4 linked regions of the Stegostoma tigrinum genome follow. The main gene of each other region encodes a partner of the protein of the gene in region 2 in a complex. Links are inferred from orthologs where the notes say so. Each region holds a gene or a part of one and is shown on either strand. Other genes may lie near its edges. The genes, in order: free fatty acid receptor 2-like, guanine nucleotide-binding protein G(i) subunit alpha-1, chrm4a and lpar1.

What was found.
Region 1: the proteins of guanine nucleotide-binding protein G(i) subunit alpha-1 (region 2) and free fatty acid receptor 2-like are in contact, whole or in part, in a cryo-EM structure (PDB 9NS9), measured with the Homo sapiens proteins. The link is inferred for Stegostoma tigrinum from reciprocal best matches to the Homo sapiens genes GNAI1 and FFAR2. Residues at the interface, in NP_002060.4 of Homo sapiens: Glu28, Ala31, Arg32, Glu33, Val34, Asp193, Leu194, Phe336, Thr340, Asp341, Ile343, Ile344, Lys345, Asn347, Leu348, Asp350, Cys351, Gly352, Leu353, Phe354; in NP_001357016.1 of Homo sapiens: Gln40, Ala42, Val44, His45, Glu106, Arg107, Gly110, Val111, Pro114, Val115, Tyr117, Lys118, Leu119, Ser120, Arg121, Arg122, Phe202, Met206, Gln209, Pro210, Leu211, Val212, Arg216, Arg219, Ala220, Leu223, Ala224, Phe273, Ser276, Ser277.
Region 3: the proteins of guanine nucleotide-binding protein G(i) subunit alpha-1 (region 2) and chrm4a are in contact, whole or in part, in a cryo-EM structure (PDB 7TRK), measured with the Homo sapiens proteins. The link is inferred for Stegostoma tigrinum from reciprocal best matches to the Homo sapiens genes GNAI1 and CHRM4. Residues at the interface, in NP_002060.4 of Homo sapiens: Arg32, Leu194, Glu318, Tyr320, Phe336, Asp337, Ala338, Thr340, Asp341, Ile343, Ile344, Lys345, Asn347, Leu348, Lys349, Asp350, Cys351, Gly352, Leu353, Phe354; in NP_000732.2 of Homo sapiens: Asn67, Arg130, Cys133, Val134, Pro137, Leu138, Pro141, Ala142, Ile218, Ala221, Ser222, Ser224, Val226, Arg394, Lys397, Val398, Thr401, Ile402, Cys456, Asn457.
Region 4: the proteins of guanine nucleotide-binding protein G(i) subunit alpha-1 (region 2) and lpar1 are in contact, whole or in part, in a cryo-EM structure (PDB 7YU7), measured with the Homo sapiens proteins. The link is inferred for Stegostoma tigrinum from reciprocal best matches to the Homo sapiens genes GNAI1 and LPAR1. Residues at the interface, in NP_002060.4 of Homo sapiens: Ala31, Arg32, Leu194, Gly217, Val218, Thr219, Tyr320, Gln333, Phe334, Phe336, Asp337, Ala338, Thr340, Asp341, Val342, Ile343, Ile344, Lys345, Asn346, Asn347, Leu348, Asp350, Cys351, Gly352, Leu353, Phe354; in NP_001338326.1 of Homo sapiens: Ile84, Tyr85, Arg146, Thr149, Val150, Arg152, Met153, Gln154, Leu155, His156, Tyr225, Tyr231, Val232, Arg235, Thr236, Arg238, Met239, Thr252, Ser255, Leu256, Thr259, Arg314, Asp315.

What each region holds. Positions count from the first base shown.
Region 1 is NC_081394.1:5,993,427-6,000,503, forward strand, and holds the start of free fatty acid receptor 2-like, read right to left. Parts: upstream 3,010-7,077; 5' UTR 2,888-3,009; intron 2,077-2,887; exon of another isoform or gene 1,998-2,076; intron 1-1,997. UniProt on the Homo sapiens protein: G protein-coupled receptor that is activated by a major product of dietary fiber digestion, the short chain fatty acids (SCFAs), and that plays a role in the regulation of whole-body energy homeostasis and in intestinal immunity.
Region 2 is NC_081378.1:25,784,706-25,791,537, forward strand, and holds the start of guanine nucleotide-binding protein G(i) subunit alpha-1, read left to right. Parts: upstream 1-3,819; 5' UTR 3,820-4,128; coding exon 4,129-4,246; intron 4,247-6,832. UniProt on the Homo sapiens protein: Guanine nucleotide-binding proteins (G proteins) function as transducers downstream of G protein-coupled receptors (GPCRs) in numerous signaling cascades.
Region 3 is NC_081370.1:1,508,623-1,515,698, forward strand, and holds the start of chrm4a (muscarinic acetylcholine receptor M4), read right to left. Parts: upstream 3,006-7,076; 5' UTR 2,619-3,005; intron 1-2,618. UniProt on the Homo sapiens protein: The muscarinic acetylcholine receptor mediates various cellular responses, including inhibition of adenylate cyclase, breakdown of phosphoinositides and modulation of potassium channels through the action of G proteins.
Region 4 is NC_081356.1:31,129,484-31,136,416, reverse strand, and holds the start of lpar1 (lysophosphatidic acid receptor 1), read left to right. Parts: upstream 1-3,919; 5' UTR 3,920-3,941; intron 3,942-6,716; exon of another isoform or gene 6,717-6,933.

The sequences.
Region 1 (7,077 bases), on a different chromosome or scaffold from region 2:
ATATAGTCAGGAGTTAGCCAGGGCCCTAATTTATCTCATTTAAAAGTGTAAGGTGCTGTGTTCCAGTGGTAATTTATTTGGTCCATGGCTAGGTTTAAGCGAAATACACTTTATTCTTACACATAACTAAAACACAAAAATAAAAAAGAGAATTGCTGTAACATTAATTCTATTGAAGTACTAAATAAATTATTGAACTACTAATCATCAACTATTCCAATAGAGGTAGCATCTCATAAGCGCATCCTTGACAAAGGCAAATTCAGCAAAACAGGTTTTCTTGCATGTTCCCTTTCTCTCCAGTGCAGGAGAAAGGACCAGCAAAAGAAACAGTCTAGCAGCAGAGAGAAGTCTTGAGCTTTTTGCTACTGCAGAGAGAGACAGAGTTGTATTTATCAGCTTTAACTGCCGAAATTCCAGCAGAAAGCAAAGCTAAAAAGCTGGGTCTGTGTGAACCTGATTCTGCCTACTCATGCTACTTCTGTCTAATTTACAAAAAAAAAGTTGTTTGCCCACTGCTTCTGAAGCATATATTCTGATACCACAGTGGCAAGCCCAAGAGAAACAGTACAGAACACATCTCTCTTCAAGGCACAGTGCTATCACAACTTGCGCTTGGAATGCCAAAGCACACAAGGCCAAGTTCTGGGAAATGGGATTAGAATAGTTAGTCACTTGTTTCTAGTCCAGTACAGACCAGATGGGCCAAAAGGCCTTTCCTGTGCTACAGATCTCAATTGCGGTACGGGAGGCTCAAGGTTACAGCTCAAGATTTTCAATCTTGCGAACTTCTTGAGTGCTAGAGGATGGAATGGCTGAGAGAATAGGATGGAACGTTTGCTTCTTTGAACATTCCAGACACTGGGGGTAGGAGAAGATCAGAGTTTGCAGGGGAGGGGCAGAATCAGTGGGCCAAATAGCCTCTGAGCAACTCCCATTGATCTTGTGCCTTCCTTGAGTGGGACAGACAACAACTTGGTTTCCCTTGAGGTGGAATTTACCGAGGAAAGCTTCGTTTATTCATTGAGGCAACAAGAGATTTTTCTGAACTGAATACACATGTGACAGGGTTTGAGATAAACAGAGAGGTGCTGAATCATTATTGTTAGATTTACTCTCTCAGTGCCTCAAGCAGCTAATCGTGACCTTTGTTTCTGTGGAAACACAGTGAAGAGGCACCAATGTGATCATTCATGATCCCAATGAAATGTTGACAATGGAATTAATTTCATAAATTAATCACCAGTCTGTGTTGGTGAAAGGCAGTTCCCAGGAACAGCTGCAGAGCATGACGTGTCCCTCCAAATTCTGGGAACAGCTGGTGTGCACAACACTATTTATTCGATTATCTGGCTATTAGTTTGACGATGGCATTAATCTTGTTGATTCTCCAACATCCCTGTTCTTCCTCCTGACTCTCTCCTGCTCTCTCTCTCTCTCTGGTGGTTAACTGCAGGACGGTGCTGAAAGAGAATCAGTCAAAGCCTCTTCAAACATCATCACTGGGATCCTCCAGCATGCGGTTTATGTATTTAATATCCTGCGGTTAGATGACACATGGAGAATTGTGCACAGTTCAAGTCTCCATATTCATTAGTGAGACATTCTCAGCACTGACGGTCCAACAGTACAGCACTCCTTCAGCATGGACCTTCCGACGGTGTGCCACTCCCTCAGCCCTGACCCTCCGACAGTGCAGCGCTCCTTCAGTACTGACCCTCGGCAGTGCGGTGCTCCCTCAGCACTGACCCTCCAACAGTGCGGTGCTCCCTTAGCTCTGACCCTTCGACAGTGCGGCATTACCACAGTACTGACCTTCCAATACTTGCCTCATTCCCTCTGCACTGGCGCTCCCTCAGTACTGACCCTCCACAGTGCTTTGCTGCCTCAGCAATAACCCTCTGACAGTGCGATGCTCCCTCAGCACTGATAACCTGACAGTGCAGCACTCCCTCAACACTGACCGTCTAAAAGTGCGGCATTCACTCTGCACTTACCCTACGACAGTGTGCCACTCCATCAGTGCTGAGCGTCCGACAGTACAGCACTCCCTCAGTACTGACCCTCCGACAGTGCAGCGCTCCTTCAGTACTGACCCTCGGCAGTGCGGTGCTCCCTCAGCACTGACCCTCCAACAGTGCGGTGCTCCCTTAGCTCTGACCCTTCGACAGTGCGGCATTACCACAGTACTGACCTTCCAATACTTGCCTCATTCCCTCTGCACTGGCGCTCCCTCAGTACTGACCCTCCACAGTGCTTTGCTGCCTCAGCAATAACCCTCTGACAGTGCGATGCTCCCTCAGCACTGATAACCTGACAGTGCAGCACTCCCTCAACACTGACCGTCTAAAAGTGCGGCATTCACTCTGCACTTACCCTACGACAGTGTGCCACTCCATCAGTGCTGAGCGTCCGACAGTACAGCACTCCCTCAGTACTGACCCTCCGACAGTGCAGCGCTCCTTCAGTACTGACCCTTGGCAGTGCGGTGCTCCCTCAGCACTGACCCTCCAACAGTGCGGTGCTCCCTTAGCTCTGACCCTTCGACAGTGCGGCATTACCACAGTACTGACCTTCCAATACTTGCCTCATTCCCTCTGCACTGGCGCTCCCTCAGTACTGACCCTCCACAGTGCTTTGCTGCCTCAGCAATAACCCTCTGACAGTGCGATGCTCCCTCAGCACTGATAACCTGACAGTGCAGCACTCCCTCAACACTGACCGTCTAAAAGTGCGGCATTCACTCTGCACTTACCCTACGACAGTGTGCCACTCCATCAGTGCTGAGCGTCCGACAGTACAGCACTCCCTCAGTACTGACCCTCTGACAGTGCGTCACTCCCTCAGCACTGACCCTTCGACAACGCGGCACTACTTTAGTACTGACCCTCTGACAGTGTGGCACTCCCTCCGCACCAACTTTCCAACAGTGAGGCGCTCCCCCACTCCAACAGTTCTGTGCTTCCTCAGTGTTGTATCTCCCTTTCGGTTTAATGCCTTTCATCTTCCCTGACTATATCATTGCTTGTTTTATTCTAGGATGTCCTGAGGGGGTGGGAGGTGCTAGCTGAATGTACGTGTTTCCTTCTTTCTGTCTCTTGCTGTCTGACCATATGTGACCAATGAATTCACAATCCTGTATTTCCTGTTACTGTCTGATATTTACCATCAAAACCAGCACAACAGGAACTCTGATGAACTGTTTGTTGAAGGATGTGTGTTTATCTGGTGGGTTGGCTCCATTCCCTGTGCAAATTATTTCCAAGAATTGACAACATGACTGCATGTGGTGTCTGTACTCCACATGCAGTAAGGCCATAGCTATCCTGCTTTCCAGGGGGAGGCCATTCAGGCCAGCAAACAAGTTCTGTCTCTTTGCAAGATCTCTGCAATCGGTATGGTGTCTCTCCTTGTCTCTCTCTCTCTCCTGCCACTGCCTCTGTGAATATTTCCTCTCCCAGTATTTAAATGATTCCATCATGCCACCCCCTTTTGAAAGTTCCTGTAAAATCTGCTCAGTCCGCTGTTTCAGGCAGAATGTTGCAGATTGCAACAACTTGCATTGAAAAATACATTCTACCTCACCTTCATTGGTTACTGCATTGAGTATGGAAGTTGGAACGTCATGTTGCAACAGAAGCAACTGCTTACTCCTAAACCTATCACAATTTTTCATAGATTCATAGAGTCACACAGCATGGAAACAGACCCTTCGTTCCAACCAGTCCATGCCGACCATAATCTCAAACTAAACTAGTCCCACCTGCCTGTGCTTGGCCCATATCCCTCCAAACCTTTTATATTCATGCACTTATCCAAATGTCTTTTAAGTGTTGTAACTGTACCCACATCCACCAGTTCCTCTGGAAGTTCACTTCACATGCAAACCAGTCTCTGTGTAAAAAAAAATTGTCCCTCATGACTTTTTGAAATCTTTCTCCTCTCACCTTAAAAATGTGTCCCCTACCCTTGAATCCTCCATTATTTTATAAATTTCTATCAGGTCACCTATCAAGCTCCTACTGAAAGCTCCACTGAAAGAGGTCCCAGCCTATCCAGCCTTTCTTTACAACTGAAACCTCCCATACATGGCAACTTCCTGGTAAATCTCTTCTGAACCCTCTCCAGCTTAATAACATCCTTCCTATAACGGGGTGAACAGAACTGGGCACAGTAATTCACACAGCAACTGATATGCATGTGGGGATGCTCTATCTGAGGGGGTGGTGGAGGTAGGTTCAGTTGAAGCTTTTGAAAGGAAAATGGATCATTGCCAGAAGCTCAGTCCTTTGAGTATAGGAGTTAGAAAGTTATGTTGAGTTTGTATGGGACATTGGTGAGGCATCTTCTGGAGTGGTGTGTCCACTGGTTGCTGGGTATGAAGGTTTGAGTTTATAAAGAAAGGCTGGATAGGCTGGGACATTTTTCACTGGAGCACAGGAAGTTGAGAAGTGACCTGATACAAGTTTATAAAGTAATGAGACGCAGAGATACAGTTAATGGTAATTGTCTTTTCCGTAGGATGAGGGATTTCAAGGTTAGGGGGCACATTTTTAAGGTGAGAGGAGAAAGATTTACGAGGCTTTTTTTTATACAGAAGTTGGTTTGTGGGTGGAATGAACTTCCTGATGAATTGGTGGATGTGGGTACAGTTACAAAGTTTAAAAGTTTATTGGATAGATACATGAATACAAAAGGTTTGAAGGGAGAGGGGCCAGGAGCAGGCAGGTGGACTAGTTTAGTTTGGGATTATGTTTGGTGTGGTCTGGTCTGTTTCCATGCTGTGTGACTGTACGGGAAAGTGACTTCTGAGCCACTGGGGTACAGAAGTAGTGCATGGGAGTAGCTTCCTTTCCAAACCAGGGATCGCAAGCACAGACAACAGCCAAACAGCCTCCTTCTCTGCCTTAACTGTCCAGGTGAATCTGTGGTTCACGAATATCTTGAACTAAGGAGAATTTCAAATCTCAATTGCCTCAAAGTGTCTGTTGACTTCATGCTCACTGCTCTCAGAAAGGGGTGGCTCAGTCACATCAATGGTATGGCTCTCCAAAACATTTCGAAAGGGGCACTGAAGGTCAGATAGCCAACGAGAGCCTCACCAGCAATGCAGACCACCAGTTTAACCAACTAAAAGGAGGTAACCATTGTAAGATGATGAGCAGTGCATTTCTCTCCAAAAAATCCTATTTATGTATAAACTACCTGAACAATTTAGCCTGTTCTGAGTGACAAGGGATGTTAAGTGTGTGCTGATAGGTGTAACTCAGAATCATGAAGAGAATGAAATGGCTTTTGTAAGGAAAATTGAACAAACTTTAATAGATATTAACTGAAATTAATTAATTTATTTGCAGCCGGCCAAGGTTTAATGTCCATCTGCACAATAAAGGCATTCTGTAAGTTTTGGATTTAGAGGGTATTTCAGATATGGTCACAAAATATCGAGGAGTTGATGCTAAAATGTCAAGACCTCACAGACAATAAGAGAATAATAGGGAAAGCGAACTACACCAGTTGATGATAGTAGGAACTGCAGATGCTGGAGAATCTGAGATAACAAGGTGCAGAGCTAGATGAACACAGCAGGGTCAGAGGAGCAGGAATGCTGAAGAAGGGTCTAGGCCCAAAACGTCAGTCTTCCTGCTCCTCTGACTCTGCTTGGCCTGCTGTGTTCATCCAGCTCTACACCTTGTTAATACAGGATGGATTTGGTTTATAATTTCACTGAAATCTTCTCCTGAAATTGATCAAGTCTCCTGATCACAAGACCATAACTTCTGGAGCTGGTCCGAACTGAAGTCTACACATCACTGTCATCACAGAGACTGAGATAGATAACAGGGAAAGCTGCTTGTTCACTCAGAGAAACAAAGCAGAAAACAACTGCTGCAGATCAAAATACATGTGGGAACTCATCGCAGGCAGTGCTGAAGGAATGCTGCGCTGTCGGAGAGTGAGTACTGAGGGAGTGCCACAGTGTGGGAGGGCCAGTACCAAGGGAGTACCGCACTGTCAGAAGGTCAGTACTGATGGAGCGCCACACTGTCCAAGGGTCACTGCTGATGGAGCGCCACACTGTCGAAGGGTCACTGCTGGTGGAGTGCCTCACTGTCGAAGGGTCACTGCTGGTGGAGTGCCTCACTGTCGAAGGGTCACTGCTGGTGGAGCGCCACACTGTCGAAGGGTCACTGCTGGTGGAGTGCCTCACTGTCGAAGGGTCACTGCTGGTGGAGTGCCTCACTGTCGAAGAGTCACTGCTGGTGGAGTGCCTCACTGTCGAAGGGTCACTGCTGGTGGAGTGCCACACTGTCGAAGGGTCACTGCTGGTGGAGTGCCACACTGTCGAAGGGTCACTGCTGGTGGAGTGCCACACTGTCGAAGGGTCACTGCTGGTGGAGTGCCTCACTGTCGAAGGGTCACTGCTGGTGGAGTGCCTCACTGTCGAAGAGTCACTGCTGGTGGAGTGCCTCACTGTCGAAGAGTCACGAATGAGGGAGTACTGCACTGTCAGACGGTATGTGAGAATGCTGCACTTTCAGAGAGTCAGTGCTGAGGGAGGGCTGTATTGTCGGAGGGTCAGTGCTGAGGGAGTGCTGCGCTGTCGGAGAGTGAGTACTGAGGGAATGCCACAGTGTGGGAGAGTCAGTACCGAGAGAGTGCCCTGCTGACAGAGGGTCAGTACTGAGGGAATGCTGCACTGTCGTAACGTGAGTGCTGAGGGAGTACTGCACTGTCACAATATGTGATCAGAAACAAAGTAGAATTGACTATTGCATTGTTACCTACGGAAAAAAGGTGAGTGAAAAAGAAAAGTATTCTAAACGTAACACTGTTTAGCTTTTGAATGTAGATTTGTTCACAGCCTCGTCTCCCCGTAGTCCCCGAGTAAGAAAATAAAAGAATGAATATTAAGCCTAGTGCTCCCTCGCATGGCCACCCAATATATTACATGCTAAGGAACCGGAGGAATAATTGGGACGATACTGAGTCGCTACACCCCTCCCTATGTCTGTAACCTCCACCAGACCCTATATCCCTGCCTATCTATCTCTATAACCTCCTCCAGCCCCCTAC
Region 2 (6,832 bases):
TTATGTTCTGTCATACATAATTCCAGATTCACCACGTTCCGACATGAGCAATGACAAGATAACTGTTTTTAAAAAAAAATGACCATGAAAAATTGAGATTCTTGATTTTGAGGAAAAAGAGGTCAATTTTCCACATGAGGATTTAATGACTAGATGAGAATCTGATTAGCCAGTGGTGAGGGTCTTATTTGCATATATTAACATCTCATTATTACTTAATCCTTCTTCATTTATATGCACATTGCAATTTTCCCAGCCAGGAGTAAAAAATAGTATAGCAGCAATTCTCAGTATGAAAGTCAGTGCAGTTACTTGGTGGCTGCAACTTGCCGATGTCATTTTCGTGACTCTAGTTTGACCGTCATTCCCAGCATCTTCAGGTATGCTGCATGGGTGGTGAAAACATGCATCCTCTATCCAAAGAGGTTGGCATTGGTAAAAGAACAGCATCACCACATCACAATGGCATATCTTAGACTCATTTATTTGACATTCAGCACTTCAACACCATGATGCGACAGGCAGCTATCTCATGCATTGGAACAAGATACATCTCGGGACTCTTAGTTTGCTTTCTTATAGTTCATTTGCTTTGCAACTACTTCAATGCTTGCAGCATCCCTGCATTGCCTTTTTGCACATTGCCACTTAATGAGAACTTGTATACTCAAACTATTTCCATCATAGTTTGCCTTTTCACACAGACACAAAGCAAGATAACCTGTCATGCCAGCAATAATCAATCAAGGGAGTGGACATGTTGCTGTATGGCACTATGCTACATCAGTCTGGCACTTACACCATATGCTAATAGCTTATGGGAAAGACATATTTGAATCATTTAGAAGAGGAGGATTCTGGGTAATCCAAGACCAGGAGACTCATTGAGGAGCTGGGAAAATTCTTCCTAATGTAAGCTTTTGAAACCCTAACACTGATCCCTGTGAGACTCTAATAGTAGCGGCTTGCCAACACACACACACACTATTTTCTGTTTGGTAATGAATCTTTTATCCATGCTAGTATGTTTCCTTGACACCATTTGATCTTATCTTGAACAGCAACCTGATGTGGCACATTATCAAATGCCTTTTAGAAATCTAAATATATCACATACACTGGCTCCCTTCTATCCAATGTGGGTGTTACCTCATCAAAAAAAATCTCATAGTTCAGTTACGTATGACGTTCCTTTTTAGAAAGCAATTCTACTCAAATGTTGAGTGACTTTCAAAGTATCCTTGCTAAAATCTCATTATTAATGGATTCAAGCAAATTTCCTATGACAGAAGCTAATCTAAATGCCCTATAGTTTCCTTTATGCTTTTGTTCTTACTTGAATGTTACATTTACTACGCTTTCATTTGCCTAAACCCTTTAAGAATCTAAGGAATTTTGGCAGATAATAGCCAATACATCTTCCACCTGGGCTGCCACTTCTTTTTAAACAATAGGATGCAGGCCTTCTGCTCCTAAGGACTTGTCAGCCTTAAGATTTTACTTTACAGATTTATTTGGTAGTTAGCAGTTACTTGTTTTCTCAACAGCGGTAAAGAAGACACCAAATTTTAGCTCCCTAGAATTTTTCAGTTTCATGCTCAAAAGTCATGAATTACTTTTTACTATTTGACCTAATATTTTCTAATACTTACCACTTAAATTGTAATCGAACTCTTGCTGTATATAATCCTAAAACATTTGAGCAACTTTAAGTTCACATATATTGCTATATATTAATCATTACTGCTAATGACTCCTATCAGATTGAACCACGTCTTTAGTAAAACACAATTTATTTTTGTGTATATTTCTATTCGGATGAGATTCATTATTTTGCTCACATCAGTGTTCTGCCTTAGTAGTTCTCTCTGTTCAAACACAACAAATATTAGATATTATGTGGATTTGTTAATTTCCTAATTTCTTATGGCATTTAAAATTCAAGAACAAAAATTTAAAAGTAACTCGGACTTACTACTGTGTGAAAAATAACACAGCACTTTTTTTTTAAGATTAGATTCCCTACAGTTTGGAAACAGCCCTTTGGCTCAACAAGGCCACAGCACCCCCTTGGAACATCCCACCCAGGCCCATCCCCCTATAACCCACACACTCCTGAACACTGGGCAATTTAGCATGGCCAATCCATCTAGCCTGCACATCTTTGGACTGTGGAAGGAAACCGGAGCACCTGGACGAAACCCACGCAGACACTGGGAGAATGTGCAAACTCCACACAGACAGTTGCCCAAGGCTGGAATTGAACCTGGGTCCCTGGCACTGTGAGGCTGCAATGCTAATCACTAAGCCACTGTGCTACCCCAAATGAAAATGTAAGTTTAATACTCTCTCCAAGGAACCAATCAACATTATGAAAGAACATTATTTTGTTCCTTAAGAGTATCGACTATTCATTGATTTTCCTGGTCAGCAGTTCTTTACATTATTACCATATTCTCTTCAGGCATGCGTACAGTGTGAGTAGGATTGAGGCAGGAAAATGGTGTGTCAACAATGGTGGGCTAAAGGAAGGGAGGTTTAAGAACTTCTGAAATCAGAGGAAGCAAAAATAGCTGGAGGTTATTACAAAGGTAAAGTAAATATGTCATAGCAGGAGTTAAAAATGATGATAAAGGCTTTAAGTTTAATATTTTGGGGAAATATGGAAACATTCAACGAATGCGAAGGAAGCTGAGTAAGTGGATAGGACACATTTATGGAGAGTAGTGCATGATAGACTAGCAAGCGAGTATATGAATGGTCAAGCCTAGAGGATGAAAAAAAGGGCTGAATAGGGTTAGAAGGAAAATAATGTTACGTTGTTGAGGAAAGCATTCTTTATGGAGGAGATAGCACAATACATAATTCAAGTGATGTCCTGAAAAGCTCTTATGACAATTTCTCTGGTTTAGCCTGAGAGAGTTATTGGATTGGAGTTGGAGTTAGAACCTACTTAATTTGCTGAGTTTAATTTGTGATATGCAAAAGATAATGTGAGCTATGGTTCACTTGGTAGCACTTGTACCAATAGTCGCAAGATTCTGGGTTCAAGTTCCACTCCACATTTTTAGCACAAAAATCAAGACAGACACCATAGTGACAAACTGGAGTCCTATATTTGTCAGAAGTGTCACCTTTTGGATCAGACCAAGTTAAACTGAGTCCCCATCTGTTTGGTCAATGTAAAAGAACTTTACATTGTTTGGGTTAGGGTTATTTGGTAGAGATGATTCAGTTAGATGAATAAACTGTTTCTGTTCTTACGTCTTAATAGTCACATGACCTATATTTTGGAACTATTTTAAAAAACATGCTTATCTCCCCTACCCTGGCTGATTATAAACATCGCCTTTTTTTCGCTGTGAACAATCACATTGCTGTTTGTGGGAGTTTGCTCTGCTCATAAGTTTCCTACATTGGTCAGTACATTTCGAAAAGTACTACTTCGGCGTAAATTAAGTTTGTCACGTGGTTGTGAAAAGCGTGATAGAAATGCAAGTGTTTCTACGTTGATTTTTCTCCAGTCAGTACGGCCCATCTGTATTAAAAGACTTGAAGTGGGGACAGGGCCGGATAACTGAGAATGTTAGCACAGACAGACAGAATAAGATGAAAAGATGGGGTGAAGAGTTAGACGCCAGAATGGAAGGGGTGTGTGACACGGAACATCCAACAGCCAACAGCAAAAACATATTTACACAGGTCGGAAATCGGCCTTTGTGGCTGTTGCCATGGGTTACCAGCCGCTTCCGTTGAGGCGATGCAGGCGACGCGGGTCTGACATCCGGGTCCCAGCGCCAACACGGTGTAGTACCGCGCATGCGCCGCAAGCGGATGGCGATCGGGCAGTTGTTGTTTGGCGAAGAATAAATAAATGAATCAGTCACTTGATTAATTTATGAGTTAGAGCTTCGGGGGGTGGTAAGGGGTATCGAACTGCAGGGAGGAGCTGCCTGAGGCTTGTCCCGATATCCCCGGGCGACTTTTTCTGTCTTCTTTTTCTCTCCCCACCTAATTTTGAAAGTGTTGCCTGGTTTCTGGGGAAACGGAAGCCACTTGTGTCGGGGGGCTCTGAGAGGAAACTGCTGCTCACTTGGAAACGCACGGAGAGAAAGCTCAGCCAGCAAAATGGGGTGCACGCTGAGTACCGAGGACAAAGCGGCGGTCGAGAGGTCCAAGATGATCGACAGAAACCTGCGGGAGGACGGGGAGAAAGCGGCGAGAGAAGTCAAGCTGCTGCTGCTGGGTGAGTGCGAGTCGGGGTCTGGAGGGAGAGGCTGGATCTCACCGACTCGATGGGGGGGGGAGCGAAAATGGCTCTTCACTATCCCTGCTGCCCGCATCCGTTCTTAGACCGCAACATCTAACTCACGCTGTCATCGCAGCAACTTTTTTTTAAATGCTGGGTTCACTCTCTTCCCCACACCCCCCCCCCCCCCCCGCTACCTGCCGCATAACCACAGTTTTTTTTTCGAGTATTTTACAGGTTTAGAGCTTGCTATCACGGCTTACCATCCAGTCTTTTTCTCTCATTCCTCCCCCTGTTTAGTACCGAAACAAAAACCGTTTTAATTAAAAGAAAAGGATGCTGGAAATATGAAACAAACACGGGAAACGCTGGAAAAATCCGGCAGTCTGGCAGTGGGAGAGGGGAAGAGTTGATGTTTCGAGTTTAATATCACACTTGAGTCATATTGGATCGAAATGTTAACTCTTTGTGTCTCCTCAGAATTGTCGTTTTGCCCAAAAGCATCAGCAGCGCGCAATTTATCTTCTGTCCTGAATGCCCAATAACACCAGCTGCCGCTTATTTTATTGCCGGCTAAAACAGAATTTGGATTTTAAAATGTACAGGAAATGAAACAATAAGATATCGCTACTTTTTTCGGTCTGCTTTGGTTAATTAAGAAAGTTTCTTATAAACCATTAACCAATTGCGCGATGTGTTTTTAACTTGCGCTAACATGCTGCTGGCATATAATAAAATCGGTTGCCGAAACTGAAATCTCATACGTCTTAGTTTCATTAAAAATTCAAATCTTGCGCGCATCTTCTTCAAGGTTTAGACTTTTAGAATACACAATGGAGGTAAGCAGACAATGACATGAAGCATTTATTCATGAGGTTTCCGCGTTTAGTGAAGCTTAATTCTCTGTTTGATCTCGAGTAAGAGCGTTATGGAAAACCTATTTGCAAGTCGTCTTCACGTGGAGTATCTCGGTTTACTGAGTTCTTATGATAGTTTGATTTACTATTAAACATCACAGATTTTGGGTGTGTTTATTACTTGAACAATTATTTCTCGTTTTCAGGAAGCAGCATTGCAGCATTCATGATGTAAATAGTGGGAAAATACGTTATGCATAAATTCGTAAACATTTGTTTCTACAGATCACAATTTAAAAAGAAATGACCTTAATCGCAATTCATTATCCTGGCAAAACAATGAATAGTGAATATCTAAGCAAATCTAAACGTCTTTCTTTATGCACTTATTGTTAATACCATGGATTAAAACTAATGCCTTTCAATTTTGTGGTTTTAATATTGCATCCTGATGGTGCTATCGCTTGTCTTTTATTACATATTATAATTAGGATGATAATACAGGGATTCTGGTGAGGTTATTTTTAGTGTAAACTATGACTGTGTATTTGTTGTGTTTCAAAGCCAGTTTTCCAAAGGGAGTTGCCTGTTGAAAATTGGGAGACTCTGACAATCGAAATGTAGTTCTGTACATTGCTAGCTAATTTCAAGGTTCATAATGAATTACCTAATGAGACAGCTTTGAGATGTGTGCTTTGCTATGTCTTTTATTTATTCATTTCTCCTGTAATGAGAGAACATGTCTTGGAATAGTTTAGACAGATCTGTTAACACGTACTGTATTTGTTATAGCAATTGAGATTGTAACTGATAATTGGAATAGATAATGTAATAGCATTAGACTAGAACAGTGTTGTCCAATATGTTAGCTACCTTGTCAAATGAGCAAATTATTAAAATTAGCAATATAAACACCGTTGAGCATGTGATCTCAGTGCTCTTATTGTCATGGAGTATCTTCAGTTGTCACCAGTTTGTGCATTTTTTGGTAAAGATATAGAAGCCAAAGAGTGTGGATGATTTTTGGTTGAGTGTAGTAAACTTGGGAATGGAGCAAGAGATGATGTGGCCTATGAAGCCTGATTTGCCATTTGCTATGATCATAGCTGAACGTTAGGATAAACCTTCAATTTCTCACCTATTTCCTATACTCCATGATTACATGCAAAATTAAAATGCTATCTGTTTTAGCTTTAAATATACACAATGACGGAGCGTCCACAACTGTCTCAGCTGGAGAGTTCTAAGGATTCTTAAGACCAAAGTGGATAATGTCACACTTCTCTCAGTATACTCCATCTGTCACATTGTCCACTCATGTAACCTGTTCAAATTTTTTTGCAGCTGCGTTGTGTCCTTGAAACAACTTGTTATCCCACCTAGCTTTGTATCATCAGCCAAGTTAGACAAAGAGAAATGCATCTAAATCAAGGATGTAGTTTCTAAGTAGCTGATGTCCCAAAACTGATCCTTATGACTCTCCACTAGCCCCAACTGCCATCTTTCCTTGCTTTTCGCTGTTCTGCCCATCTTTATATGTTGCTCCCCCTCTCTTGTGTGTTAACTTTCCATGTGGCACTTTTTATTTGATACCTTTTGAAAATTGAAATATGCAGTAAGTTCTGCCAAAATGCAAGTTTTGTTAACAAATAGGCCGTAATGAGATTGTTGATAACGCAAACTTTTTGCTGTACAGATACAGTGATTCTCCTATAGCAATTTCCCT
Region 3 (7,076 bases), on a different chromosome or scaffold from region 2:
ATACATGAGATTTAATGGGGCCATTCCCAGATAGGGGTAATGTCAACATTTGGGTCAATGAGGAGCTAAGATTATTCATTGTAGAGGGTGACCTTTAATGGGAGATGAATGTTAAGCATGTGAACAGGTTTGTTTCCACATTGAAGCTGTTATCCGTTGATTAGTTGATGATGAACTCAAGATTAGAGCCAAGCAGGTCAATTTAAGATTGGAACTGACTTTCTGATTGATGGGGGCAAGCTTGATCGAAGCTTTTGTTTCTTTTATTTTTACTTTGAGCTGTCCCTCTTTAGACAAGTGTTATAGACTGAGAAGTTGTATTTCTGAAAATTGGATTCCTCATGGAAGCTATTGGATTGGATTTTGATGTAGAAATGCAAGTGATCTTAACAGCATTTACCATAATTTATACACAAAAAGTATACGCACTGTGATTGTAATTGCTGGAATGTGGAAGTTGCTGTCAGGGTTGCCCAATTTCTTCATAAGCTTCCCAATTTTACCATTTTGCCAACTGGCACAGCACTTACATAAATTGGGCAGCATTACACTCTTATCCTCACCTCATAGATATCTATAAACTTCAAAAATTGTAAGGGTTCTTCCTTTTCAGTATAAATACCTTAGAAGTTGTGTGATAAATATTTATTGCTGTCAAACAGTTTCATTGGTGATTAAATTAAGTTTTACAAGTGCAGAGTCTCATTCTTTCACCTTGCAGTTATGGTTGAAAATCTCTAGACAAATTGAAATAACTTATTTTCATGGATAATCATGTAAGGAGGCTATTGGGCCCTTTGTTCCCATGCTAGGCTTATCACATTAATCCCTCTGTCCTACCTGCCCCCATAACCCTGCAAATTCTTTACCCTCAAGACTTTAGTTGAAGTGATTCCATGGCAGCTCCAGGCAGTGCAATCCAGAAGACAACAAACTACTGTGCAAATATAGTTTCCTTGTGTCACCTCCAGTAATTTGCAATCAGATATGAGTGTATTCCCTTTGGTATTAGTTACAAATATATTAAGTACAGGATTTGTTCTAGATGGGCTTTTAATCACACATAAAATAGTCTTATGTAAGTTTAATAAACCAATGGTAACATATCTACAGAATGCTCTAAGTATGCTTGTGTAAGCTGGGAGTGCTCTTAGCCAGTTTGCTTTGATATAGTCTCATCAAAGACTGTTTAATATGGACCAGTTCATTTAAAAAAAACTGGAATTCTGTGAATTACATTAGGAACCGAGAGATCAAGAGATGTTTGTGGCAAGGTTAGAGTGTTTTTGAATTTTGAGATTGTTTCTGCTTGACTCCTGACTGCAGTTAATATACATTGTGGTTTGATTGCTGACAATTGAGTTCAGCTGGACTGTACAGTATTTGCTTTTCTTTTGACTGTGAAGCGAGTCTTACCATCTATTCCTTGCTTTAATGATGGATTTGGGGTGTCTTAGTGTTTAGGGATTTTTGAAACAGGTGGATTGATTACTCATTGTTGGATCCACGATGTTCAGCTTGCTTCACTGATTGGACTTAAGTGAATTACTTATGAGATGGTTCTGACCTGGACTAAGGGTGATCCTAAGGTTGCTGTGGACTATTACAGTAAAGAGTTCATTCAAAATTTTAGTTTTTACTTGCTGTCTAATCCATTCACCTGAGGCTTGTTTGCGCTACCGGATGGATCCAGTGTAGTGATCATTTCCAGGAAATGAGATTCTCCATCAATTATACTTGTTTGGATCTGAATGTTACACTTTAACCCCCCGTTTCAAATTCGGGCAGTGAAATTTGCTAGGAAGCACCATGCAATCAGAAAACAACATTGTTAGTTAGTTGCCAAAGTTAAGAGCAATTTTCCTGGTGGCTTGGTTGCTGGAAATTTTGAAGGGGAAACTTGGTCATAGATATTGGACATTATCCCAACATCATGAGAGGCAAGCTTATGTAAAGCTGACATAGGGTGAAAATAACTCAAATTACGTTAAACTCAATATATGATGGATCCAGGAGTTTTAAGTTACAAACCAGTTTTGAATTAACTTACGAAGTAAGAATAAAGGGGAAGCCTTTGTCAACATGACATTCAGGTGATTCAAACAGAATACAACTTCCATTGTAAATCAAATGGATCTTAACTAGTAAAAGTCTACAGGTTTCATTCTCCTGATGGTAAACACGAAATATCAGAGATCAGACCAAACAAATACTGCTGCTATTTATAAAGCAGACCACCAAGACAAGTACGTTTTCACTATGGTTAAAAGATTTGCTTTGACTTGGGAAGGGTGTGTCTAGTATTTTATCAGTGAGAACATGAGAAAGAACGGTGCAGGCATCTCAAGAGACAAACGCGCTTTTTGATCGATCAGAAGAACCTTGTATTTTCCCGTAAGGTTCAAAGTTGTAGGAAACTTCCACTTAGCTCTCAGTTCGGTTTCGGGCGCTGAACAAGATAACGGCAGCCCGCATACCAATCTCAGGCGTGTTTCTGTAATACTTCCAAAAGGAAGCATCATCTGAGCGAGAAGCCACACACTGACCGAGCGCAGCGCGGATAGCTAGCGGGCATTGAAGACAACCTGACGGGCAAGGTAATAGATGTCAGCACTTACTTGAAACACTCCGCCGCCTCCATATCTGCTATCGTAAGAACTCTTGAAGTACGGTTACAATCCTTGGGAGGATTTGCCCAGGACTTGTTGGAGCTGGAATCGTTGCGCTACCTGCCAGTCCGTCTGCTGGCTGGGAGTTACGGACAAATTCTTCGCGCATCTGTCGAACCTCTTTTGGAACATTTTCTGAGTTACTCTTGGGGAAGGACACGTCTCGCCCCAGCCCAGCCCTGTCCGCCCTACTTGGTCGCCGCCCTTTAAGGGGGCTAGGGAATAGACTTCCCTGCTCCCATTCAGCCGCGTTGGGAAAGCCGGTGGAGACTGAGGAGGATGTGATGCCGCCCCGTTAAATCACTGACTCTTTCTTCAGTCCAGAGAAATAGCGGCAAGCCAATAGCGGTGATGTAATGCAAATGCAGCCAATCATCAGAGTCTCCCCATCCCCAGGTTAGAATATACATTAATCCCCCACCAAGCACAGAGGCTATTTAACGCTGAGGACTGTCAAATTGGAGCGGTTCGGGACCATTAAATTATCCAGGCTCAAGGATTTACGGGGTTCTTAATAATCGGCTGCCAAATTGCTTTTATTTTTTCTCTGCACCCTTCACAAATTTGAAGTCTGTGTATCCTTTTTTTGGGGGGGGGGGCGCGAGGTGGGATGCAGTGCGGGGAATGGAAGTGCTGGCTGACATCGCAGATAGAAGGGAGGTGAAGTCAGGGGATGATAGAGCAGTGAAAGTTAGCACATATCTAGGCGACATGCCCACTGCACTCAAATGTCCAAAGCTCACAAAACGGAATAGAGATGAAGCCATGTGCGGTTTTATGTGCGATTGCAATTGGGGAGCGGGTGTTCCCGTCGTAGAAAGTGGTTCGACTTTGTGAAGATCTTTCTTACTTCACAGCCTCACTACCTCTGTGTGCATGTTGTGGATCACCCCGGCTCCGAGTGACCTGGGAGAGGGTGTGGGACAAGGGTTAGGACAGGGGCTGGGTAGAAACTGTTGCCCTGAAATTACCCTTGGGCACAGGTCAGCCGAGGCAGCCAAGAATTTTGGCACTGGCTACTCACACTTGATTTCTTTTCACTCCAGCCTCCCATCTCCTTCATTCAGAGCCTCCTGCTACCCCTACATCAGTGGCAGTCATAACAATGCAGCACTGAACAAATGTGTGTATCAAGGGATGACTATGGGATTCATATTGAGAGAAGAGCATGTATGGAATGCGATGGCTAAGTATAGGGGCACAAAGTGAGACCCTACAAGCTTGCCTTTGATCCGATGATCTGTTTACAATAAACACAGTTTCAGAACTAGTTGCTTGGAAATTATTTACATTGAAAGCTAAAATTTGTTTTTTTTTCTTCTTTAAATCATTTAGGACCTTCTAAAATCTTCAATGTTTTCATCATTCAGGGATGAGCATGCATCCTGTTAGTGGAAGTGTGTGGGAGCACCTCGACAACTAAGCAGGTAGCACTTCCTGCAAAGAGCAAAAGTACAATTTTAAGTCTCTAAAGAGACTTGTGTCAATTCTGTTAACCCCTCTCTGACAGGTAACCCCCAGCTGTAACCAGTGCACTGAAACACTGAGTGCCGAGGCTACCCTTAATCCTAATCCTAACATCAGAAATTACCTCTTGCTAATCCTACTGTTAATTCAAATCCAACCTCAAAACTCCTGTCACATCAGTCTGCACCAGCCTTTTTTTATAATCTTATACTCGTTCCATGTGGTCAGGTTGATAAAGGTCTCTATTACAGGGTTGGTGGGGGCAGAGGAGTGTTTAGGAGAAGGAGGTTAAGTCGCTAGGAAGGGAAAATTTGTATTTCTAAATGAATGACATTTTTGTATCCCAAGAGAGTCGACCAACACTGTGAGCATATTGCTCTTTAGAATAGTAGCCATCCTGGTTTCCATAGCATTTCTAGCTCACACATTATTCAATCTACCTCAGTGGTGCTCTGTGCTGCAAAGGAGTTTCCTCTTGCCCTACTTTATTTAAGTCTGTCAGCAAAACCCTTTTATTTCCTCCACATGTGCTTTTCTGACTTTTACTTGAATACACCAATCTTCCTCGCCTCTATATTTGATATAAGTAAAGTTAGACCCTATTGATTGATGCGTGCATGCTATCTCTGTCCATTAACAGGCAACATTGCAAAGAGGTCTAGACATCTCTCAGTCATCTTTGTCTACATTACAGCTGACAGACTACAAAAGTAATTGAATCTCTTGCAAATCTATACATTCACAGTGCAGGGAAATTGTTATGTTAATATTCTTTGTCACTCCTGATTAACCTGCATGTATTTCAACCATGAATATTCCCTAATGTAAAGCCCCACAGAGCCCTGAACGATTCCAAAGAGGAAGCCTTCCTTGCATGTATCGTCACAGTTAGATTTCTGCATTAATTCAGCAAAAACTGGGCTGTTTAGCCTCGGTAATTTATTTCTCAGTTTCATGGGCTGGCCTCGTGTGTGATTTATTTACGAATGTGATCTATTTGTGCTTCATATTGCTACTTTCACCGCACCATACAATGAGCTTCTTGACGCAGTCCCTGTATTTTGCAAGTTTGTTTAGCAATCAACATTTCAGCACCGTGGACAAGGACTCAGGCTCATGTCGCTGCCCGTGGTGCTGACATCGCCCCATTTACAATAAAACTGACATTTCGGGTCGAGGCCTTTGCTGCTCCTCCGAGGCTGCTTAGCCTGTTGTGTTCATCCGGCTCTATACCGTGTTATCTCAGATTCGCCAGCATCGGCAGTTCCAACTATCTCTGCAAAATTGAACGCAGTCTCGCACACTGAATTCGCGCAACAGTTCTTAAAAGCGCCGCGACGTCTCAGTTTGAACCACAACACACAGTCATGTCCATAGGTCTACAGAAAACATAATACGAAGTGAATAGATATCAATCTCAGGTCAGTCAGAGCGCTGTGACCTCTAAGTGAGAAGGATGTGGTTTCAAGACCCACTTGATTTGAATACGTACTTCAGGTTGGCACTTTCAGGCTAGCAGTGGGAGAATGGTGCGAGGCGGGAGATTCTAACTTTGGATTTATTTGATCAATCGAAGGCCTCTTCTACCTCTCAACTGGGTCTAAAAACAGGTGGTTAATGAGAATTCTCAGCGGTGTCTTAACCAAAAGATATCAAACAGCTAAGCAAACAGATTGTTTTGTTACCTGATGTGCTCCAGTTCTTACATTTATAGTGTCTTCATTTCAAAGGGGCGCTATTTCTGTAAAACCTTGCGCCATCTCGAGCAAAAGTGCATATATGTGGCAAGTTTTTCTTTAAATTTGGAGGGGGGGGGGAACAGTTGCTGGGCAAGGACAAATCATTGAAATTGATTATTGATGAAACAATTCTTTGATTGTTCAACTCGTCCATAGACTGTCGCTCAGTCCTTATTTTTCTCTTTATTTGGACAGCGTTGGGCGAGTCAACTCATATAACACTGTGAGATGAATTATAACAAACGAATGTATTTGAGAGAACCGCCGAGTCGTGATATCCGTGGTCAAGATAGTTGTGTTTCTGTTGTGTCTATCTTTTACTGTCTCTCTCCCCCGTCGCTCTTGTTAAATAAAGTCAATGTTTTAATGAAATGACCTAACTGTCAAAGTGGGTAAACAATGATTCTGAAGTACCGCGGGCGTCCACATTAAATTAGTGGCGTGGAAAACTTTCAAATGATCTTCCGGAAGCCTGCATCTGAGATAAATGACGTTTAATTATAATTCAGTACTGCAATTGGGGATAAAGCAACTCGGGTTTTTTTTTTGAACGATGACAAAGGTAACACAGAGACAAGAACGTACTAGGTTTTGAAGAAGTCTCCTCTTCGGGATGAAGTTTAGTGTAGCTGGCGGGGACTTCTCTGAATTGTCTGGTTTATGCGAATGCAGGACGCTTTACTTGCCTGACAGGATGGGCAGGATAGACTGTAAATATTCCCGATTTATAGCCCAAGGCAGCGAGAACAGACAAACAGAGATGTCGTGGCGAGTGTTTTGTTTGACGTTTCTTTGTTTGAGATTTCTTCTCGCGGGAGATGCGGAATGGTTCATTCGCGTGTAACGGAATTGAAAATTAACTTTGCTGCTTCAAGGGCCATGGGATTCAGCCGTATTCCCGATTTAGCCCATTTTTGCTGAACAGAAAGGGTTTTGCAGAATGTGGAAAATTCAGACAGAGTGAGAGAGAAATGCAGAGAAATTCACGGGAGACATAGTACTTGAACCTGGGGAGGGCGGTTGAAGTCGAAGTGATGGTGAGAAATAACTGTTGAAAATACTAAATCAGAGCTGCAGAAAATATCAGCGTCAGGGGTGTGCACGGCGATGTCAGATCCACGTGAAAACTACACAGAGCGAGAAATGTGACGGCTCCCAAGGTGGGTGGGTGGGTTGCGGGAGAAAGTGGAGAGGGGGCGCA
Region 4 (6,933 bases), on a different chromosome or scaffold from region 2:
GCATCCCACCCAAACCCAGCCCCCTACCCCTTTTCCCGCTAACTCACCTAACCTATACATCCCTGAACACTACAGGCAATTTAGCCTGGCCAAACCACCTAACCTGCACATCTTTGGACAGTGGGAGGAAATCAGAGCACCCGGCGAAAACCCACATAGACATGAGGAGAATGGGCAAACTCCTCACAGATGGTCGCTCAAGGCAGGAAATGAATCCCAGTTTCTGGCACTGTGAGGCAGCAGTGCTAACTACTGAGCCACTATCTATAATCTCTGGAGTTTGGGCAAAATGATCTCACTAAAACATTCAAAATTATTAAAGGGCTTTACAGAGTAAACATTAAGTTGTTACTTCCCATGGGCAAAATCATAAACAAAGGGGTACATTCTCAGAGTAAGGATTCATTAGGACGACAATGAGAAGTAATTTCTTCTTCAAAAGTCTATAAATCTTTGGAATTTTCTACCCCAGAGGACTGTTGAAACATTGTCATTAAATATATTTCAGACTGGGAAATACAGATATTATACAGATATCATATAGTACAGTTAAGGCTGTTCAGCTTGTCAAGTCTGTACTGTGAAAAATATTCTACTGCACTAGTCTCACTTCCCAGCGCTAGACCAACAGCCTTGAATGTTCAAGTTCAAGTATAAGTTCATCCAAGTACTTCTTGAAGGTTGTGAAGTTTCCTGCCTGAATTATCTTTCCGGGCAGCGAATTCCAGACCCCACCATCCTCTGGTTGAGAAAGGCTTTCCCCTATATAAAAAAACCTCTTGCCTTTCACTTTAAAATTATGTCCCCTTAGTGGCCCTTTGACTAAGGGGAACAGTCACTCTCTCTTCACCCAATCTATGCCTCTCATAATCTTATGCACATCAGTCAGGTCCCCCTTCAAATTTCTTGGCTCTTAAAAAAAAACCCAAGCTTATGAAACCCAGGGAAATACTCCATCCCAACTAATGTGTTGGTTAATCACCTCTGCATTCCACTAATGCAATCACATCTTTCTTATTGTGGGGGGGCGGTGACCAGAACTACAAACAGTACTCCAGCTGTGGTCTAAGGAAAGTACTCTACAACTCTAACATACCCCCCTGCTTTTATAATCAATATCTCAACTGATGAAGGCAAATGACATGTATACCTTCTTAAATACCCTATTAACCTGTCCTGCCATGTTCAGTGATCTACAGACAAGCATCTCAAAATCTCTCTGTTCCCTGAGTTTTTGGGTGTCCTACCATTGATTGGGTACTCCCTTATCTTATTATTTCTTCTGAAGTGACTCACCTTATATTTATTAGGATTGAATTCCTTGTGCTACTGATCGGCACACCTGACTTTCCTTCTCACTGTCAATCACACGGCCAATCTTTGTGTCATCCACAACCTTACTTACCATTCCCCTGTCATTTTCATGTATGTCTTCTCTGAATATCACAAACAGTGACTGATCCCTATGGATTCCCACTGGACACCAGACTCCAGTCTCACAAACATCTTATTCCAACCTCTCCATTTCCTGCCTCGAAGCCAACCCAATATTGGAACAAATTTGCCAAATTATCCTGGATCCAATGAACTTTTACTTCCTTTATCAGATTCCCATGTGGGATTTTGTCAAAGGCCTTGCTGAAATCCATGTGAGTTAGGCACACACATGGTGCTGTTGGGAAAGGAAGTCTGAGATTTTGACCCAGTGACACTGAAAGCATGGCAATATTTTTCTAAGGTGAGAGGATTAGAGAGAAACTGCTGCTGTTGGCCTTCTGCAGCTCTTGTGGTAGAGGTTGTATGTTTGGAAGATGCTGTCTCTGCGGTCTTGGTGAGTTGTTGCATTGCATCTTGTAGATGGTAGATACTGTTGTTATTGTGAGTTAGTGGTGGAGGGAGTGAATGTAGAAGGTATTAGATGGAGAGCCAATCAAGCAGGCTGCTTTATCCTGGATGGCATTGAGCTTTTTTTTTAGTATTGTTGCACTCATTCAGACAAGTGGGAAGTATTCTGTCACACTTCAGACTTGTGTCTTGTAAGTGGGAACAGGCTTTGAGGAGTCAGAAGGTGCGTATTCACCACGGGATTCCCAGCCTCTGATCAGTTCTTGTAGCTAGAGTGTCTGAAAGACCTGAGGAACTGCTGCAGAGATGCCCTGGACCTGAAATGACTGACCAGGTGCCACATATAATTCCAACTAGCACTGAGTTTTCCACCCAGTTCTCATTGACTCCAATAACAAGGTGTGGAGCTGGATGAACACAGCAAGCCAGGCAGCGTCAGAGGAGCAGGAAAGCTGACGTTTCGGGTCTGGACCCTTCTTCAGAAAAGAAAGGTCCAGACCTGAAACGTCAGCTTTCCTGCTCCTCTGACGCTGCCTGGCCTGCTGTGTTCCTCCAGCTCCACACTTTGTCACCTCAGACTCCAGCATCAGCAGTTCCTACTATTTCTCATTGACTCCAGTTTTGCCAATACTCCGAGATGCCACACTCAGTCAAATGCTGTCTCAGGAGGTCAAGAGGAATCATTCACTCAGCGCTTCTGATCGAAAATGCTCACAATTACTTGGCTTTTGGCCTGTAATGCAAGGTATTGAGGAAAGGAATTTTTGTGGCATCTCCTCCTCCAGTGAGTTGTTTGTCCGTAGCCATTCATAACTAGATGTGGCAGGATTCTAGGGCTTAGACTTGATCTGTTGGTTATAGGGTCACTTAGCATGCTGCTCAAGCTGCTTGCCAGGGATATAGTCCGACATTGTAGTTTCATCATGCTGACACTTCAATTTTGGATATAGTTGGTGCTATATGTACATGACCTCCTGTGGTAGTGCCACAGAACATGATATAGGGTGTTCTGACGTGAAGGGGGGCCTTTGTTTTCTCAAGGACTGTATGGTCATTACTCCAACTGATAGTGTCATGGAACAGGAAGCTAGGTGAGTACGAGGTCAAGCATATTTTGCCTACTTGTTGGCTCCCTCACCACATGTTACGGTCCCAGTTTAGCAGCTTTACACTTTTGGACTCACCTAGTTCAGTGAACAGTATTACTAATGAGCCAGTCTTGGTGCTGGACATGGAAGTCCCCCACTCAACACATTCTGTGTCCTCGTCAGCCTCGGTAATTCATTCAAGTGGTGATGAACATGGAGATGTGCTGATTCATGAGCTGAGGTGGGTGAAGTGTACACAGTAATCAAGAGGAGGTGTCCTTGCCTATATTTGATCTGATGCCATGAGACTTCATGGGGTCTGGAGTCAATGTTCAGGGTTCCCAGGGCAAATCCCTTCTGACTGTACACCACTGTGCCACCACCTCTGATGGGTCTGTCCTGCCAGCGAGAGACTTGGCAGTCTTTTTACCAAATGGAAACAGCACAACAACTGAACCTCATTGTGTCTTCACTCAATCTCTGTTGTTCCTGGCAGGCTGAACAGAGTCATCAGAATTGGAAACCAGGCCTGTGTTTGCTTAATTCACGGCCTGATTAATTTCAACATCGATAACCGTTGAATAGGGGCAGAATTAGACACTAATACAAACTCAAACCAGCAGGAAATGTGAAACAAAAACTGAAAATGCTGGAAGTCCAATCTGGCTGCAACTGTGGAGAGAGAGAGAGAGAGAGAGAGAGAGTTCGAGAATTGATCTTTGAGGGTAAAACCTTTAATCAGATTTACACAACAAATAATAACAACAGAGGGAATATATCCAACAGGAAGGCCAGGATTCTCCACCTTTGAAAAGACAGGAGTGGGAGAGGTGACCTAAAACAAGTCTTTAAATTGTTGAATGGAATTTGATTGGTCAGGCGCAGAGAAGATATTTAAACAGTCATTGCTAATAAGGTCTGTAATAAACCCAATCAGGAATTCCAGAGAAACCTCTTTATTCAGGGAACGGTGGGAATGTGGAAGTCACCGTGGCTGAGAAGCTTGAGGTGAGTAACCTTGGTGCTGTTATGGGAATAAAAACACAGAGAAAAGAATAGCCTGGCTTAAACAGAGTGGGAGGCTAAGCATGTCGCGAAAAGATCCGTTTCTGTGCTGTAAATTCGCTGTAAGTCATTGGCCAGTTGCCTCTCCTGCACTGTCTGCAAGAAATGGATTGGCAATTGAATCGCTCCAAGGCCATCTGTTTTCATGCATAATTTCCACATTAGACTTCCCATTTCAGTCTTATTACAGAGGAGGAGGGATAACTAGTCATTTTACTGTTCCGTTTTACCTCAAAGCTTCTGAGGCATCGAGTCACTAACAAGGAGTAAAGGAGGCGGTCTCACGGATTGAACAGAAAACGCCTTCTACAACAGAAGCGTTTTAACGAGTGACCGTGTGCTGCAGAGCTCGGAGCTCTACAACGCCTGGACCGAGAATTGAGAAAATAAACTTGGGCTCAAAACGTTCGATGTTTTGAGTTTTACGAGTTGGTGTTTTGCACTTGTGTTTTTTTTATATATAATCAAAGCTAGACGAAACAACTCCCTCGCGAATTTTACATGCAACTGAGCTTAACTTTTTTTTCTAATTTGGGAACGTTAACCTTGCAAACACTTAAAACATGCAACTTCATTCAATATTCCTTCCTTTATATGATATGTTAATCCTGTTTGCATATTACTTGCGACAAACTATTGACGACCTCAAATAACTTTTTAAGAGGTTGGGGGTGAAATAGGAATGTTAAATAAAACAAAATCCTCATTCACCAATTCGCTATCTTTTCTTCCACCCACTTATTATTTACAGGGCTGACTATAAGGTTTCCAACCTACACATACAAGACATTCAATGAGAGAGAAATAGAAAAGAAAGGGCGGTCATTGCCAAGTTGACGAATCCGGCCACGTTTTCCAGGATAAATGAAATAACATTTCAGGAAGACTTTTTCTAAAATAAACCAGATGAACAAATCTGTCTTCCCCCTTCGTGCCCCAACCCCTATGTGAAAAATACGATTAGTATTTAAAATAGAGGTGGGGAGGGGATGGCAGTTTAGACTTCGTAAAACAGAAAAAGGTGTATGTATATATTAACATCAGGCAGCGAGCAAAATGTGTTAGTAATTAAGACCCAGCCTGCTGGCGGCACGGGCCTGACGTCAGCAGCAGGCTCGCCCTGCTCAGGGAAGCCGGATCTCAGAGCGGCACACACACAGGGCAAGCAGTGCAGTGTGGGCACACACACACACACACGGGGCAAGCAGTGCAGTGTGGGCACACACACACACGGGGCAAGCAGTGCAGTGTGGGCACACACACACACACGGGGCAAGCAGTGCAGTGTGGGCACACACACACAGGGCAAGCAGTGCAGTGTGGGCACACACACACACACGGGGCAAGCAGTGCAGTGTGGGCACACACACACACGGGGCAAGCAGTGCAGTGTGGGCACACACACACACACGGGGCAAGCAGTGCAGTGTGGGCACACACACACGGGGCAAGCAGTGCAGTGTGGGCACACACACACACACGGGGCAAGCAGTGCAGTGTGGGCACACACACACGGGGCAAACAATGCAGTGTGGGCACACACACACGGGGCAAGGAGTGCAGTGTGGGCACACACACACGGGGCAAGGAGTGCAGTGTGGGCACACACACACACACGGGGCAAGCAGTGCAGTGTGGGCACACACACACGGGGCAAGCAGTGCAGTGTGGGCACACACACACACGGGGCAAGGAGTGCAGTGTGGGCACACACACACACGGGGCAAGGAGTGCAGTGTGGGCACACACACACACACAGGGCAAGCAGTGCAGTGTTGGCACACACACACGGGGCAAGCAGTGCAGTGTGGGCACACACACGGGGCAAGCAGTGCAGTGTGGGCACACACACACGGGGCAAGCAGTGCAGTGTGGGCACACACACACACGGGGCAAGCAGTGCAGTGTGGGCACACACACACGGGGCAAACAATGCAGTGTGGGCACACACACGGGGCAAGGAGTGCAGTGTGGGCACACACACACACGGGGCAAGGAGTGCAGTGTGGGCACACACACACACACGGGGCAAGGAGTGCAGTGTGGGCACACACACACGGGGCAAGGAGTGCAGTGTGGGCACACACACACACGGGGCAAGCAGTGCAGTGTGGGCACACACACACACGGGGCAAGCAGTGCAGTGTGGGCACACACACAGGGCAAGGAGTGCAGTGTGGGCGCACACACACACAGGGCAAGGAGTGCAGTGTGGGCACACACACACACACACAGGGCAAGGAGTGCAGTGTGGGCACACACACACACACAGGGCAAGGAGTGCAGTGTGGGCGCACACACACAGGGCAAGGAGTGCAGTGTGGGCACACACACACACACACACACGGGGCAAGCAGTGCAGTGTGGGCACACACACACAGGGCAAGGAGTGCAGTGTGGGCGCACACACACACAGGGCAAGGAGTGCAGTGTGGGCACACACACACACACGGGGCAAGCAGTGCAGTGTGGGCGCACACACACACAGGGCAAGGAGTGCAGTGTGGGCACACACACAGCAAGAGACAGAGAGGGGAAGAAGCGAGCATGGGAGCTGAGCAGGGGGTGAGAAAACGGCGTAGGGCGGGCGCATTTCGAGGGTGCAGAGGAAAATAGAGCGCAGTGGGAGTGCACGCGTAGAGAGACCAAGGAAAACGGAGTCGTGTGACCGCAGAACGAGAGACGCGGGGAAACAGGGCAGTTTGGGCTCGGGGAGGAGAGACAGAGACCCGGGAAAAATGGGGCGGAGAGCGTAAGAGGTTGGGATAAAGAGTGCATTGTGGGCGGAGACAGACTGGGGAAACAGGGCGCAGTGTGAGCGGAGCTACTGTCTGCTTAAGACAGTGAGACGGTCTTTTCATTCAGACATTTAAACCAGAGCCAGCATTTGCTTCGAGAAGGTTGTGAAAGTATAAATTGCTCTCGCCTTGTGTGT